2 linked regions of the Lonchura striata genome follow. The protein of the gene in region 1 purifies or fractionates together with the protein of each later gene. This does not show direct contact. Links are inferred from orthologs where the notes say so. Each region holds a gene or a part of one and is shown on either strand. Other genes may lie near its edges.

Evidence for each region. The genes of interacting proteins can lie anywhere in the genome.
Region 2: the proteins of KMT5C (region 1) and CBX3 purify together in Homo sapiens (affinity purification with western blotting; 3 studies listed by BioGRID and IntAct, with this or other methods). This does not show direct contact. The link is inferred for Lonchura striata from reciprocal best matches to the Homo sapiens genes KMT5C and CBX3.

The regions. Positions count from the first base shown.
Region 1 is NC_134640.1:2,777,996-2,784,987, reverse strand, and holds the start of KMT5C (histone-lysine N-methyltransferase KMT5C), read right to left. Parts: upstream 3,007-6,992; coding exon 2,992-3,006; intron 2,806-2,991; coding exon 2,648-2,805; intron 1,023-2,647; coding exon 860-1,022; intron 1-859. UniProt on the Homo sapiens protein: Histone methyltransferase that specifically methylates monomethylated 'Lys-20' (H4K20me1) and dimethylated 'Lys-20' (H4K20me2) of histone H4 to produce respectively dimethylated 'Lys-20' (H4K20me2) and trimethylated 'Lys-20' (H4K20me3) and thus regulates transcription and maintenance of genome integrity.
Region 2 is NC_134603.1:123,910,343-123,917,746, reverse strand, and holds the start of CBX3 (chromobox protein homolog 3), read left to right. Parts: upstream 1-4,392; 5' UTR 4,393-4,513; intron 4,514-6,039; exon of another isoform or gene 6,040-6,066; coding exon of another isoform or gene 6,067-6,090; intron 6,091-7,404. Other genes in the region: HNRNPA2B1 (heterogeneous nuclear ribonucleoproteins A2/B1), read right to left, coding at 4,108-4,137.

The DNA.
Region 1 (6,992 bases):
GTGCCCCATGGATCCCTCAGAATCCTTCCCTGTGCCTCATGGATCCCTCAGAAACCTTCCCTGTGCCTCATGGATCCCACAAAAACCCCCCAAAATCCTTCCCTGTGCCTCTCAGAAACCTTCCCTGTGCCCCATGGATCCCTCAGAAATCCCTCAGAATCCTTCCCTGTGCCCCACAGACCCCTCTGTGCCCCCCAATAGGACCCCAGCAGACCCCCCATTCATCCCTTACCCCCAAACCCCCCCGGGACCCCCCAGACTCCCCCCAAATCTCCCCCCAACCCTCCCAAACTTCCCCCAAACGCCCCCGGGACCCCCCAGATCTCCCCCAATCCCCCCCGGGACCCCCCAAACTCCCCCAAACTTCCCCCAAACGCCCCCGGGACCCCCCCAAACTCCCCCCAAATCTCCCCCCAAACCCTCCCGGGACCCCCAAATCCCCCCCGGGACCCCCCAAACTTCCCCCAATCCCCCCCGGGACCCCCCAAACCCCCCCAAATCTCCCCCAATCTCCCCAAACTTCCCCCAATCCCCCCCAGTCTCCCCCGGGACCCCCCAATCACCCCCAAACTCCCCCGAAACTCCCCCCAAACTTCCCCCAAACTCCCCCAAATCTCCCCCAAACCCCCCCAAACCTCCCCGGGACCCCCCAAACTCCCCCAAATCTCCCCCAAACCCCCCCAGATCTCCCCCAAATCCCCCCCAGTGCCCCCCAATCCCCCCAAACTCCCCCAGATCTCCCCCAAATCCCCCCCAGATCTCCCCCAATCCCCCCCGGGACCCCCCAAACCCCCCAAACTCCCCCCAAATCTCCCCCAATCCCCCCCAGTCCCCCCCAATGCCCCCAATCCCGCCGTACGTGGTTCTTGAGCGCCGCCCGCTGCGCCGCCCGCCGCCGGCGGAAGAACGCCGGGGCCCAGGCGCCGCTCAGCGTCCGCCACGCCGCCTCCAGGTCCCGCCGCTGCCGGAACGCCTCGATGGCCGCCCGCAGCTGGGCCCGGCGCCGCAGGGCGGGCAGGGGGCTGCGGGGCACCGGCCATCAGCACCGGCACCGGGCACCGGCACCGGGCATCAGCACCGGCACCGGGCAGGGGCACTGGGCACGGGCACCGGGCATCAGGACCGGCACCGGGCACCGGCACCGGGCACGGGCATGGGCACCGGGCACCGGGTATGGGCACCAGGCATGGGCACCGGGCATCAGCACCGGCACCGGGCACCGGCACCGGGCATGGGCACCGGCACCGGGCATGGGCACCGGCACCGGGCATCAGCACCGGCACCGGGCACCGGCACCGGGCATGGGCACCGGCACCGGGCATGGGCACCGGCACCGGGCATCAGCACCGGCACCGGGCATGGGCACCGTACCGGGCATGGGCACCGGGCATCAGCACCGGCACCAGGCACCGGGCACCGGGCATGGGCACCAGCACCGGGCACCGGGCATGGGCACCGGGCACCGGGTATGGGCACCGGGCATGGGCACCGGGCATCAGCACCGGGCATGGGCATCGGGCACTGGCACCGCACCGGGCATGGGCACTGGGCATGGGCACCGGGCATCAGCACCGGCACCGGGCACCGGCACCGGGCACCGGGCATGGGCACCGGCACCGGGCATGGGCACCGGGCATCAGCACCGGCACCGGGCATGGGCACCGGCACCGGGCACCGGCACCGGGCATCAGCACCGGCACCGGGCATCAGCACCGGCACCGGCACCGGGCATCAGCACCGGCACTGGGCACCGCACCGGGCACCGGGCATGGGCACCGGCACTGGGCATGGGCACCAGGCATGGGCACCGGGCACCGGGTATGGGCACTGGGCATGGGCACCGGCACCGGGCATCGGCACTGGGCATGGGCACTGGGCACCGGGCACCGGCACCGGGCATGGGCACCGGGCATGGGCACCGGGCATGGGCACCGGGCATGGGCACCGGGCACCGGGTATGGGCACTGGCACCGCACCGGGCATCAGCACCGGGCATGGGCACCGGGCATCGGGCATGGGCACTGGGCATCAGCACCGGGCACCGGGCATGGGCACCGGCACCGCACTGGGCATGGGCACCGGGCATGGGCACCGGCACCGCACTGGGCATGGGCACCGGGCATGGGCACCGGGCATGGGCACCGGGCATCGGGCATGGGCACTGGGCATCAGCACCGGGCACCGGGCATGGGCACCGGCACCGCACTGGGCATGGGCACCGGGCATGGGCACCGGGCATGGGCACCGGGCACCGAGCATCAGCACCGGCACCGGGCACCGCACCGGGCACCGGGCATGGGCACCGGGCATCGGGCATGGGCACCGGGCATGGGCACCAGGCATCAGCACCGGGCATGGGCACTGGCACCGGGCACCAGCACCGGCACCGGGCATCAGCACCGGGCATGGGCACCGGGCATGGGCACCGGGCACCGGCACGGACACATGGTGCCGCCCGGTTCTCCCTCCCGGTGCTCCCCCAGTGTCCCCCGGTTTTCCCCCCCGGTTCTCCCCCCCGTTTCTCCCTCCCGGTTCTCCCCCCCGGTTTTCCCTCCCGGTTCTCCCCCCGGTTCTCTCTCCCGGTTCTCCCCCCGGTTCTCCCCCCGGTTCTCCCTCCCGGTTCCCCCCGGTTCTCCCCCGCTCTGACCTGACGCCCATCTTGTGCGTGCGGAAGCCGAGCACCGAGTCCAGCACGAGGCTCGTGGCCAGGTCATCGTTCTCGCACAGCTCCCGCGCCGTCACCGCCGTCCCCGCCGCCCGCGCCGCCGCCGGCCGCTCCCGCCGCCGCCTCCTCCGCCGCCGCGCCTGCAGCACCGCGAGCGGCGTCAGCGGGAGCGCCCGCGGGGCGCAGCCCGAGCGCGCGGCGAGCCCCGGGAGCGCCGGGAGCCCCGGCCCGGCCGTTACCGCAGCGCCGGAGCCGCGGGAGCCGCGGGAGCCGCCGCCCGCACCGGGCCCGGCGCGGCCGCGGCGCCGCCGCCCGCCCGCTCCCGCCGCGCGCTCCGCCATCCCCATTGGCCGCCGCCCCGCCGCGCCGCCGCTCCCATTGGCTGCCCGCGAGGCGCACGGTGAGCTGATTGGTGGCAACCGCGGCGCTCCCGCATTGGTCCGCGGCGTTGAGGGCTGGCTATTGGCCCGCGGAGATGCCGATCAAAGCGTTTTGTCTTGTCATTGGTTGAATTCGCTCGAGGGCGGCTGAAATCCCTCCTTTTTATTCTATTGGCTAAACCCAACCGCCTTCCTCGCTTCCTATTGGCCTCCTCCCTCCCGCTCCTCCCTCGCTATTGGCCGAGCGCGCTGTCACTCACTCCGCCGGCTCACAATGCGCCGGCCATAAACAATGCGGCCGAAACCCCGCCCCTTCCGCCGCTGGCCCCGCCCACGCCAAGATGGCGGCGGGCAGGCGCGGCGGGCGGCGCTGAGCGGGGCCGGGCGGCACCGGCGGCTCCCGGCGGGCCCGGATCGGTCCCGGATCGGCCCCGGATCGGCCCCGATCGGCCCCGGGGCTCTCGGAGCGGCGCGCGGCGCGGCCATGGCAGCGGCGGAGGGCGGCGGGGCCGGCGGCGGCCGGCGGGAGCCGCCGCGGACGCTGCAGGGGCTGCTGGAGATGGCGCTGGCGGCCGGCGAGGCGCGGCCCGAGCCCCGCCAGCCCCTGCCCGAGGAGGTGCCGGCGCCGGGCGGGACCCGGGGGGCTCGGGGGGCTCGGGGGCGCTCTGGGGACGCTTTGGGGTCACTTTTGGGGCTCTGGGGACACTTTGGGGGCACTTTTGGGGGCACTTTTGGGGCTCTTTGGGGCTGTCTGGAAGCTTTGGGGGTTCTCTGGGGTCACTTTTGGGGCTTTTCAGCCTCTCTGGGGACACTTTTGGGACACTTTTGGGGCTTTGGAGTCACTTTTGGAACTTTTTGGCCTCTCTGGGGACACTTTTGTGACACTTTTGGGGCTCTGGGGTCACTTTTGGAGCTTTTTGGCTTCTCTGGGGACACTTTGGGGGCACTTTGGGGTCACTTTTGGGGCTCTGGGGTCACTTTTGGGGCTCTTTGGGCTCTCTGGGGACACTTTTGGGACACTTTTGGGGCTCTGGAGTCACTTTTGGAACTTTTTGGCCTCTCTGGGGACACTTTTCAGGCTCTTTGGGCTCTTTGGGGGCACTTTTGGGGCTTTGGAGTCACTTTTGGGGCTTTTTGGCCTCTCTGGGGACACTTTGGGGACACTTTTGGGGCTTTTGGGGCTCTTTGGGGCTGTCTGGAAGCTTTGGGGCTGTCTGGGGTCACTTTTGGGGCTTTTCAGCCTCTCTGGGGACACTTTTGGGACACTTTTGGGACACTTTTGGGGCTTTGGAGTCACTTTTGGAACTTTTTGGCCTCTCTGGGGACACTTTTGTGACACTTTTGGGGCCCTAGGGTCACTTTTGAGGCTCTGGGGTCACTTTTGAGGCTCTGGGGACACTTTTGGGGCTCTGGGGTCACTTTTGGAGCTTTTTGGCCTCTCTGGGGACACTTTTGGGGGCTCTTTGGGGCTGTCTGGGGGCACTTTTGGGGCTTTTTGGGCTCTTTGGGGTCACTTTTGGGGCTCTTTGGGGCTGTCTGGGGACACTTTGGGGCTTTTCAGCTTCTCTGGGGACACTTTGGGGGCACTTTTGGGGCACTTTGGCCTCTCTGGGGACACTTTGGGGGCACTTTTGGGGCTCTTTGGGGCTGTCTGGAAGCTTTGGGGCTGTCTGGGGTCACTTTTGGGGCTTTTTGGCCTCTCTGGGGACACTTTGGGGACACTTTTGGGGCCCTGGGGTCACTTTTGAGGCTCTGGGGACACTTTTGGGGCTCTGGGGTCACTTTTGGGGCTTTTCAGCCTCTCTGGGGACACTTTGGGGTCACTTTTGGGACACTTTGGGGGAACTTTTGGGGCTCTGGGGTCACTTTTGAGGCTCTGGGGACACTTTTGGGACACTTTTGGGACACTTTGGGGTCACTTTTGGGGCTCTTTGGGGTCACTTTTGGGGTCACTTTTGGGACACTTTGGGGTCACTTTTGGGGCTCTGGAGTCACTTTTGGGGGTTTGGGGGTCCCCGGGATAATTCGGGGTCCCAGGGCCTGGTTTGAGGTGCCAGAGGCGAATTTTGGGGTGACTCTGGCTGATTTTGGGGTGATTTTGCCCGATTTTGGGGTAATTTTGGCCGATTTTGGGGTGACTCTGGCTGATTTTGGGGTAATTTTGCCGGATTTTGGGGTAATTTTGGCCGATTTTGGGGTGACTCTGGCTGATTTTGGGGTGATTTTGCCCGATTTTGGGGTAATTTTGGCCGATTTTGGGGTGACTCTGGCCGATTTTGGGGTGATTTTGCCCAATTTTGGGGTAATTTTGCCCGATTTTGGGGTAACTTTGCCCGATTTTGGGGTGACTCTGGCTGATTTTGGGGTGACTCTGGCTGATTTTGGGGTAATTTTGGCCGATTTTGGGGTGACTTTGGCTGATTTTGGGGTGACTCTGGCTGATTTTGGGGTAATTTTGGCCGATTTTGGGGTAATTTTGGGTTAATTTAGGGTAATTTGTGCCCCCCAGGGCAGCAGCAGCTCCCTGCTCTGGTGTCGGAGACTGTGACGGGTTCTGGGTTAATCCCACTTTAATTTCACTTTAATTTGGTTTTACTTTCACTTTAATTTTGCTTTAATTTCACTTTAATTTCGCTTTAATTTTTGTTTAACCTCAGGGTAGCTTTGGGATAATTTAGGATAACTTTGGGATAATTATTTAGGATAACTCTAGGATAATTTATAATAATTTTGGGATAACTCAGGATAATTTAGGGTAACTTTGGGATAATTACTTAGGATAAGTTTGGGATAACTTAGGCTAACTTTGGGATAATTTAGGATAACTTTGGGATAATTATTTAGGATAACTTTGGGATAATTATTTAGAATAACTAGGATAATTTAGGATAACTTTGGGATAATTTATTATAACTTTGGGATAATTATTTAGGATAACTTTAGGATAATTTATGATAACTTTGGGATAATTTTGGATAATTTAGGATAACTTTGGGATAATTATTTAGGATAATTTAGGATAACTTTAGGATAATTTATGATAACTTTGGGATAATTATTTAGGCTACCTTCGGGATAACTTAGGACAATTTAGGATAACTTTAGAATAATTATTTAGGATAACTCTAGGATAATTTAGAATAACTTTAGGATAATTTATGATAACTTTGAGATAACTTAGGATAATTCAGGATAGCTTTGAGAAAATTACTTAGGATAATTTTGGGATAACTTATGATAACTTTAGGATAATTTATGATAACTTTAAGATAATTTATTATAACTTTAAGATAATTTATGATATTTTTTCCCCCCAGAGGCAGCAGTGGCTGCGGCAGGCCGTGTCCCAGGCGCTGGCCGGGCCCGGGTTCACCCCGCTGTGACTCTGGGATAACTCAGGGATAATTTATGATAATTTAGGATAATTTATTATAACTTTAAGATAATTTATGATATTTTTTCCCCCCAGAGGCAGCAGTGGCTGCGCCAGGCCGTGTCCCAGGCGCTGGCCGGGCCCGGGTTAATCTTGGTGTGACTCTGGGATAACTCTGGGATAATTTAGGATAATTTAGGCTAACTTTGGGATAATTTATGATATTTTTTCCCCCCAGAGGCAGCAGTGGCTGCAGCAGGCCGTGTCCCAGGCGCTGGCCGGGCCCGGGTTCACCCCGCTGTGACTCTGGGATAACTCTGGGATAATTTAGGATAATTTATGATAACTTTAGGATAATTTATGCTAACTTTGGGATAATTTATGATAATTTCTGTCTCCCAGAGGCAGCAGTGGCTGCGGCAGGCCGTGTCCCAGGCGCTGGCCGGGCCCGGGTTCACCCTGCTGTGACTCTGGGATAACTCTGGGATAATTTATGATAATTTATGATAACTTTAGGATAATTTATGCTAACTTTGGGATAATTTATGATAATTTCTGTCTCCCCAGAGGCAGC
Region 2 (7,404 bases), on another chromosome or scaffold:
TTCTACATACAAAAGTATCACTAGCTCATACATGTGAAAATTTCATGCCAAATACTTAAAAAATGCACTAACAAGTAGTCCCCTTCCACACATTTATTATTTTGGAATGTTGTTTTGAAGAGAACTCTTCTGGACAAGAGAACTCAAACCAAATCACTTCAGCTTTATACTGTTAACTAACTTTAATAATCAAGAAAATATGCTTGGGCCTTTGGCTGTGTTTTCATTAGTGTAGTGGTTGCTTTATATACAACTCAAACATTACAGCAGGAGGTGTAACTGACAAACACAACATGATTAATTGTGCAATGGGGATTAAGATAAATTTTAAAAAAAGAACTAGAAAAACACTGAGACTAAGAAAACAAGCAAAATATTTCTGTGTACATATGCTTTTGGAAGAATTAAGCCAATCTGCACACAGACCAATGTATTTTCTGAAGTTGTCCAAGGTAGGCCTGGATCAAGATGCATGTAACACAGTACAATTACCGTAGGCAGTGACAACCCAGGGTTTTTTTTTCAAAATACACCTCTGTATTACCAGCCTTTCATACTGCAGTCTGACAAGGAAGTCAACTTTCTCCCCTCCTTCTTCCAAATACATACTCTATTTAAGATTGATCAGTTCAAATTTCTCTTGAAAAATATTTGACTCTGCTGTTGGATCTAGTTATTTTTCTTCTAAGAACACAAAGAAAGCTAGTACTGTCTCCTCCTTAGACAAAAGGACAAGCAAAATAAGACACATGTTCACAAGCAGCAGACACATGTTTCAACTAATTCCTTTTCACCTCATCACATAAAAGGAACAAAGAACACTGCACACCAGACCAGTATAAAAAAAACATATTCACCATATGTCATAGTATTATTTATTAATTTTGAGTAAAAGAGCAAAGAAAAATTTTTAAGCAACAATACTGCAAAAATAAAAATCCTCCCTTCAGTTCTGCTGCTTGAGAATTAGGGACCACTTGCTTACAGTTGGATATAAAAATGTGGTTTTTTTTGTAGATCTATGAAATCTATTACCACCCATTTAATAAAGGACATTATTATAAAAATATGAGAATTAAGTAAGTTTAGTAGACAGGCAGGATTTTTTCCAGTGTTATTGTTACCCCCTGAAAACAGCTACAAACCTGCAAACAGAACTCAAGAAACAATTGTAAAATTATAAAATATACAATAACAATTATAAAAATATACTACATATAACTAACAGACATTAAACAGAATAGTAATGCATTTTACAGATGTATTTAGGGTCATGATCTACCCAGAACATCTAAGCACCACACGTCAGAAAACAGCAATAACGAAATTAATTACCAGTTCTTTAATGAAAACCACTGTGCGAAAACAGCACACACGCTGCTCCACTAACACGAAATCTCTAGATGCAGATAAACTATCTGTCTCAAATGAGCCAGTCTGAAGAAGCTCTGGTTGGCCTAACACTAACCTACCAAAGTCCAGAGAGTTCTGCACATCTAAAGTTTGTGCTGAAGGTATAAAATGTACAATAACTATCATCATGCCAGTGTCTCATAGAGTCCTAAGGAAAATACTCTTTTGCTACAGACAGACACCTCATACCTAGGAAAGGCCACAATATAAAAGCTGGAGGTTAACACCTCTTTCAAGATTTCCACAGTATGGCCCGTGGCAGGAACAAAGCACTAAGGGAAATTTCTACCTCTGTAGGATCTTCATGCGTGTGTATTTTAAGCTTTACTCCACAGTCTTAAAGCAACTTGAAAGCACTGAAAAACGCATAGCCTTTACTAAAAAATTAATCACCAGAGAAAGGAAAGGTGTTTCACATAGCTGTAACGTGCGCAGACACAATCCACGCTGACAGCGGAATTAAGAACTCGGGTAACAGCAATGTTTACCGGAGACGAGCGAGGGGGAATCCCTGAACTCCAGAGCTCCGCAACCCCTCAGCGGCAGCTCGCTCGCCGCCTGTGGCGGCCGGGACGCAGCGGCCGCGCCGGCTCCACCATGTGGCGGCAGCGGGAACACCGCGGCCCCGAGCCGGGCGGGGAAAATGGCGCCCGGGAGCAGCCGCCGCCTCCAGGGACAGCGCTGCGAATTGCTGCCAGCGTACACCTACACACACGGTACTAAGGCCTCTCCAGCGCTCCTTCTCGCCCCCGTGCATACCAGACGACTACAGCTGACGCCCGCCTTGCCCACTCTGCCGGAGGGATCCCCAGTGCCTCTCGCAGACGCGAGTCCCAGCCAGGCCGCCATTTTACCCCTCCCCCTCGCCACCGCCATTACCCGCAGCGCCGCTCGGCCGCTCCGCGCCTCGGGGGGCCAAGACGGCCCCCCCAGCCCGCGGGGCTCAGACTCCCCCCGCTCCTCCGACACCTCAGCAGCAGCGCAGCTAATAGCCATGGCCACGGGCTCAAGAACGCGCTGTCCGCCATGCGCGGTTACCGCAGCTTCCGCCGCCTCGCCCGGCTGTGCGCCAGCCCCAGTCGCCGCTTCCAAAACCTTCCTCTGCGCAAAGACATCCAGCATCCGCCCCGCGCTGCGACCGGCGGCAGCGCCTGGACTTGTGCGGACGACTCAAGCTTGCTTGTAATTCTGAGTCCCGAAAAAATTCACTCTGTCTACACAAGCAAACGCGTCTCCCTCCTTAAAAGCAAGGTCTAAATCCACCCATTCCACGTACCATGTTCTTCATGGTTTATGTATTCCCGCTCGAGAGTACCGTACAACTGGTCGGTAATGGCTGCCTGAGCTGTTACGTAATTTGAAATTCAGCTCCGCGTAGTGTTAGCGCCCTCGTACTCCAGCTCGGGCTCGCTTCCGAGGTTTAATTAATTAAAAAAAAAAAAAAAAAAGAAAAAAAAAAAGAAAAAAAAAACTACAGGATCTGGAGCTTAAATATCTCCAAAGGGGCTGCAATTCTGAATAATGCCCCTACGTGTTTTTATCGTGTAATGAAAGTCATCGACTCCGTTAGTAATGGCCGTCTCCGAAATGAGCCGAAGGAGCTGTCGTCGTCGAGCTTATCCGCTTCGACAGCCGCCGGAAAAAGCCGAACCAGGAATGGAAGCCCATTCGACTCGCTTCGGTAATTTCCGGAATCTGCCGCAGCACGCGAAAATGGCGCTCGGGGCCAGCTCGGCAATTTCCGGACAGAAAGACGCAGCAAGTCACCGACTACTTCAGCCAACTCGGCAGTTTCTGACCATCGACAGGCTCGCGAGACGTGCCCGAGCGCAGCCGTAGCGGCCTCGAACGCTACTGGCACTCAATTTTGTTTGGTTTTTTTTATGGAAATTGACAAAAGGCCCCGAAGGCACAAACCTCGGCGTTATTATTAGTCGGGGGCGGCAGCGCATCGCTCCCCGAAACCTCGCCCTGGCCCCCTTCCTCCTCCGCCCAGGCAGGAGGAAGTGAAAGTTACACAGATTTTGGCACAAGTGCGATATATCGCGGGGCCCCGGCGGAGGGAGGCGGACTTCGCCGCAGCTCGCTCCGCTCTAGCCCGCACCATCGGCATCGGGCGTGCTGCCCGCTCCGCCGCGCTGTCCTCTTCTTCTCCTTCATCCCCTCCTTTTTTCCCTCTCCGGCGGCCCTACGCGCACCGCGACAAAGGGTGAGTGCTGCCGCCCCGCGCGCCAAAGAAATGGCGCTGGAGCAGCTCCTTTCTTCCCGCCCCCTCTGCTCCCCCTCCCTTTCAGCTTCACCGCGGATCCACCCGCAGCTCTCCTGGCTGCAGTGAAGGCTCCCCAGCCGACTCCCCCGACCCCTTTTCCCACTTATGAATGAGTTCTCGGGCCCCAGAGCCCCGCAGCTTCCCGAGCCCCCTTCCCTCCCCCCGCCCTTGCTCACACCCAGGCCTCCCCGCCGCAACGCGGGAAATGGCCGCCCTCCAAAGGGGGCCCCTCCAAACGAGCTTCAAACCTACGCCAGCGCTCCTCGCCTGCCCTCCCCACGCCCGGGGCCCGCCCGGCCGCCCCGATCGAGGGCCTCGCTCCGCGGCGGCGGGCAGCATCGGCCCGAAGCGCATTCGCTGCGGCCGCCATGATGGCGGCCGTGGCTCTCGGGGTCCGCCAACCCCGCCCGCTCCCCCAGGCTTACCCAGTCGCTTTCCCTGTCGCCGCGAGGCATCTTCCTTCTTTTGGACGCCTGGCGCGGTCCTGCGCTCGCCCCGCGTTGGAGAGACGTCTTGGCCCCCCTCCTGTGCCGGCGGCGACGACGGTCGGAGGTTGTAGCGGCTCGCGCGTAGGCGGCGGCGGCGTCGTGCGCTCTGCCCCGTCACAGCCGCCGGCGCGCAGAGCTCGCCCGGCCCAGCCCAGCCCAGCCCGCCACCGCCGCGCCGCTCTCCGCCCTCCGCTCCCGCCCTCCCTCTCTCGCTCCCTCCCTGCCCCCACCCCCCGCCTCAGCCCCCCGCGGATGTCGCTGTTGCTGCTGCCGCCGCCGCTCAGTGCGCGCAGGGCGGGAGCCAGGAGGAGACAGGAGACCTAAGCGGCTGGGCACCATTGAAGTCTGTATCCTTCTCTCTCTCTCTCTCTCCCTCTTTTCTTTCGCTGCAGCCGCTTCCTTTCACCCCATTCACCCTCGAGTCCCTTTCCCTGACTCCCCTTTCCTCTGCGGCTCGCTGCGGGCCGCCGCGGGGAGATGCGGAGCGCAACCCGCCCGCCTCCCCCCACCGCCGCTTCTTCCCCACCCCCGCTTCCTTGGCGGTGGGGGGTGGCGGGCGGAGCGGAGCTGTCGGGGAATCGGGGCTTCGGCACCCGCTCGGGGAGGGAGGGAGGGAGGGAGGCAGGCCGGCGCCCGGGCACGCGGGCGCTGTCGCCCCAGGGGAAGGAGAGCAGTGCCGGGGGCGGGGGCAGCGGCACCCGCGCGGCAGACAAAGCCGGCCCGCCGGCGGTCCCTACGTGTGCTCGGCCCGGGGAAGACGTGAAGGGGCGGGGGGAAGATGGCGTGGAGGGGCCCTGTCAGCGGCGGCGGAAGCGGCCCAGGCCTGCGTCCCCGTTACCTCGCCCGGGGCAGCCCCGCCGGCCTCATGTGCGCCCGCCGCAGGCCCGAGGCGCAGCAGGCCTCCGCAGGGCTGCCTCTGGTTTGTGGCGGGGGGGATTGTTGCTATTGGGTTTTGGGTTTTTTTTTTTTTACCCCTTTCTGCTGCCTCTCCGGGGGACGCAAGGCAAGACCTTCGGCACTGGCGCCCTGGCCCCGGCCCTTTTCCCACCTCGCCTAACCCACCGCCCATGCGGCTGCCAAAATCCGCCTCCCGTGTCAGGGGAGGATTGGGCGGGATTGCTGAGTCCGGAAGGCTTTCTGGCCTTAAAGGACTTTTCTGCTTTACCCAGGCATATGGGGAATTCTAGCATTTCTATAGCTCGCTGCGGGGCGGTGACAATACATGCCTATGGAGCTGGTCGGTATGAGAAATGACATGGAAAAGGGGATGGATTGTGTTCAACCTAATTTGCATAGGTTAAATATGTAGTATGTACATCTTAGCTGAGTTAATATTGTTTTAGGACCTTAACTCTTGCCAACTTGAGAATCAGAAGGCAACATTATAGTTGCATTAAGAGAAATATTTGCTGTTTATAAGAATTTGCTACCATGTAAGAATAATGGGTGATTCATTGCACCACAAATATATATATCTTCCCCATCAGATATTTACAGTTAATATACCTTAGGTATGTCTTCAATTGCTAGAATTTGAGCTCTGTTTCTATTTGGTTTAAGGAAATGAGCATCCCTGATGGTCCTCCCCCTTTTCCCTAGAAACATGTCTATGCTTTTGAAGGCCTTGGGAAAAATTTTTTTCAACCCTATATACCACCTTGTCAGTATCATTTATCCTGGCTAGCCTAATGGTGCATTACTGGGTTATGCCGGACAAAGTAGTAACCTACTTTTTGTTCTGGATTTAATCCGTGTAAGAAATGTTGTATGCAGTGAATACATGGGGGTTGGAACAAGGACCATGCTTGTCTTGGGATGCCTTTCTTTGAGTAATGCAAACTTCCTTTTAATTGTCATGCATTTTTCTAGTAAAAGCTCTGCAAGTCTGCAATAAAAATGGCCTCCAATAAAACTACATTGGTAAGTTCATGCACACCTAAAGTATATAAGGATTTAATCAACATATTTTTCTTCAAACTTATAACTTGGCATCTCCATTTAAAAGATACATCCACATCTCCCCTCCCCAGCATTATTCTGACCAAATTTCAGATCCAGAAAGTAAGGCTACTAGAAAGGACATTGTCTTTGGTTTTAATAAATCTGCCATTTCTAAAGAGAAACGTGTTGAGAAAAAAGTATGAAAGGACTCTGCACTATTTCATCTATTCTACAATAGAAAATACTGAGGATTTTTTTTAGCCTCCTTTCAGCATACCATGTAATTCATCATACATGTAAAAAATAAAGTCTAAATCATGTATTCACTTAATTTCTCCCAGTGTATTTGGAGAAAAATATTTGCCTGACAAAAGGCAATCTTTACAGATGGAAAGTAACATTATTGAGAAATGATGTGGCATAATTAAGATGCCTTTTGAAATGCTTTTTAACAAATAACAGTTTCTTTGAATTTCATAGGAGCAGAGATTATCAGATGTCAACCCTTCCTGGACCATTTTAATGATGCATTCATGGATCTCAAGTCCTCTAAAGCTTTGCTTGACATTAAAATATGGACTTCCAATGGCAGTTGGTTGCTGGTTGCAGTTCAACTAATACTGATACATAGTTTCATGAAAGACAGACCTGTAGAAGTATATTGTGAGATGTATCTGAGATTGAGATGGGGAAGCAAGCCAAAATATATGTGCACAATTCAAAACTCCAGCAGCAGAACAGCTGGTTTATAATAGTCTCGAAAGGCCTGTTCTTAAATTTACAGAAATGTTTACTCAGTTCAAAATATATTCAAAACTTTTATTAACTCCTGGCTTAGAAGTGCAACGGAGTGCTTCCTCTGTGTTGTACTGGTTTAAAATATTTCACCGAGATGAATGTCTAAACTTTCTGTTAGTAATTGATTGTCCACTTATCCCTAATTTGAAGAAGAGAAGAAGTTAGCCAGCCTGGGAAAGGGTGCTTTGGAGAGAGGAAAAAAATCTTTTGAATGTGGTATTTTTAATCTTTTGATGTTATTGAGAATTTTGCTGTACAGGTCAGGAAAATCAGTTATGGTTCCCATGGGAACCATAACTAATTCTGCTTAGTTATATATTTGCATGCAAAACCTAAATATGTTAAGGGGTAGGGTAGCTCTAGAGCTGTAATTCCAATTTTCTTACATCTTGTATGTTAAAATTTTACACCACAGTGTCACATCAGTGTTTTAACCTTGCCCCTCAACGAAAGAGTGTTTATCCATAGATCTACATCTGTCATATGTGGTGTCAT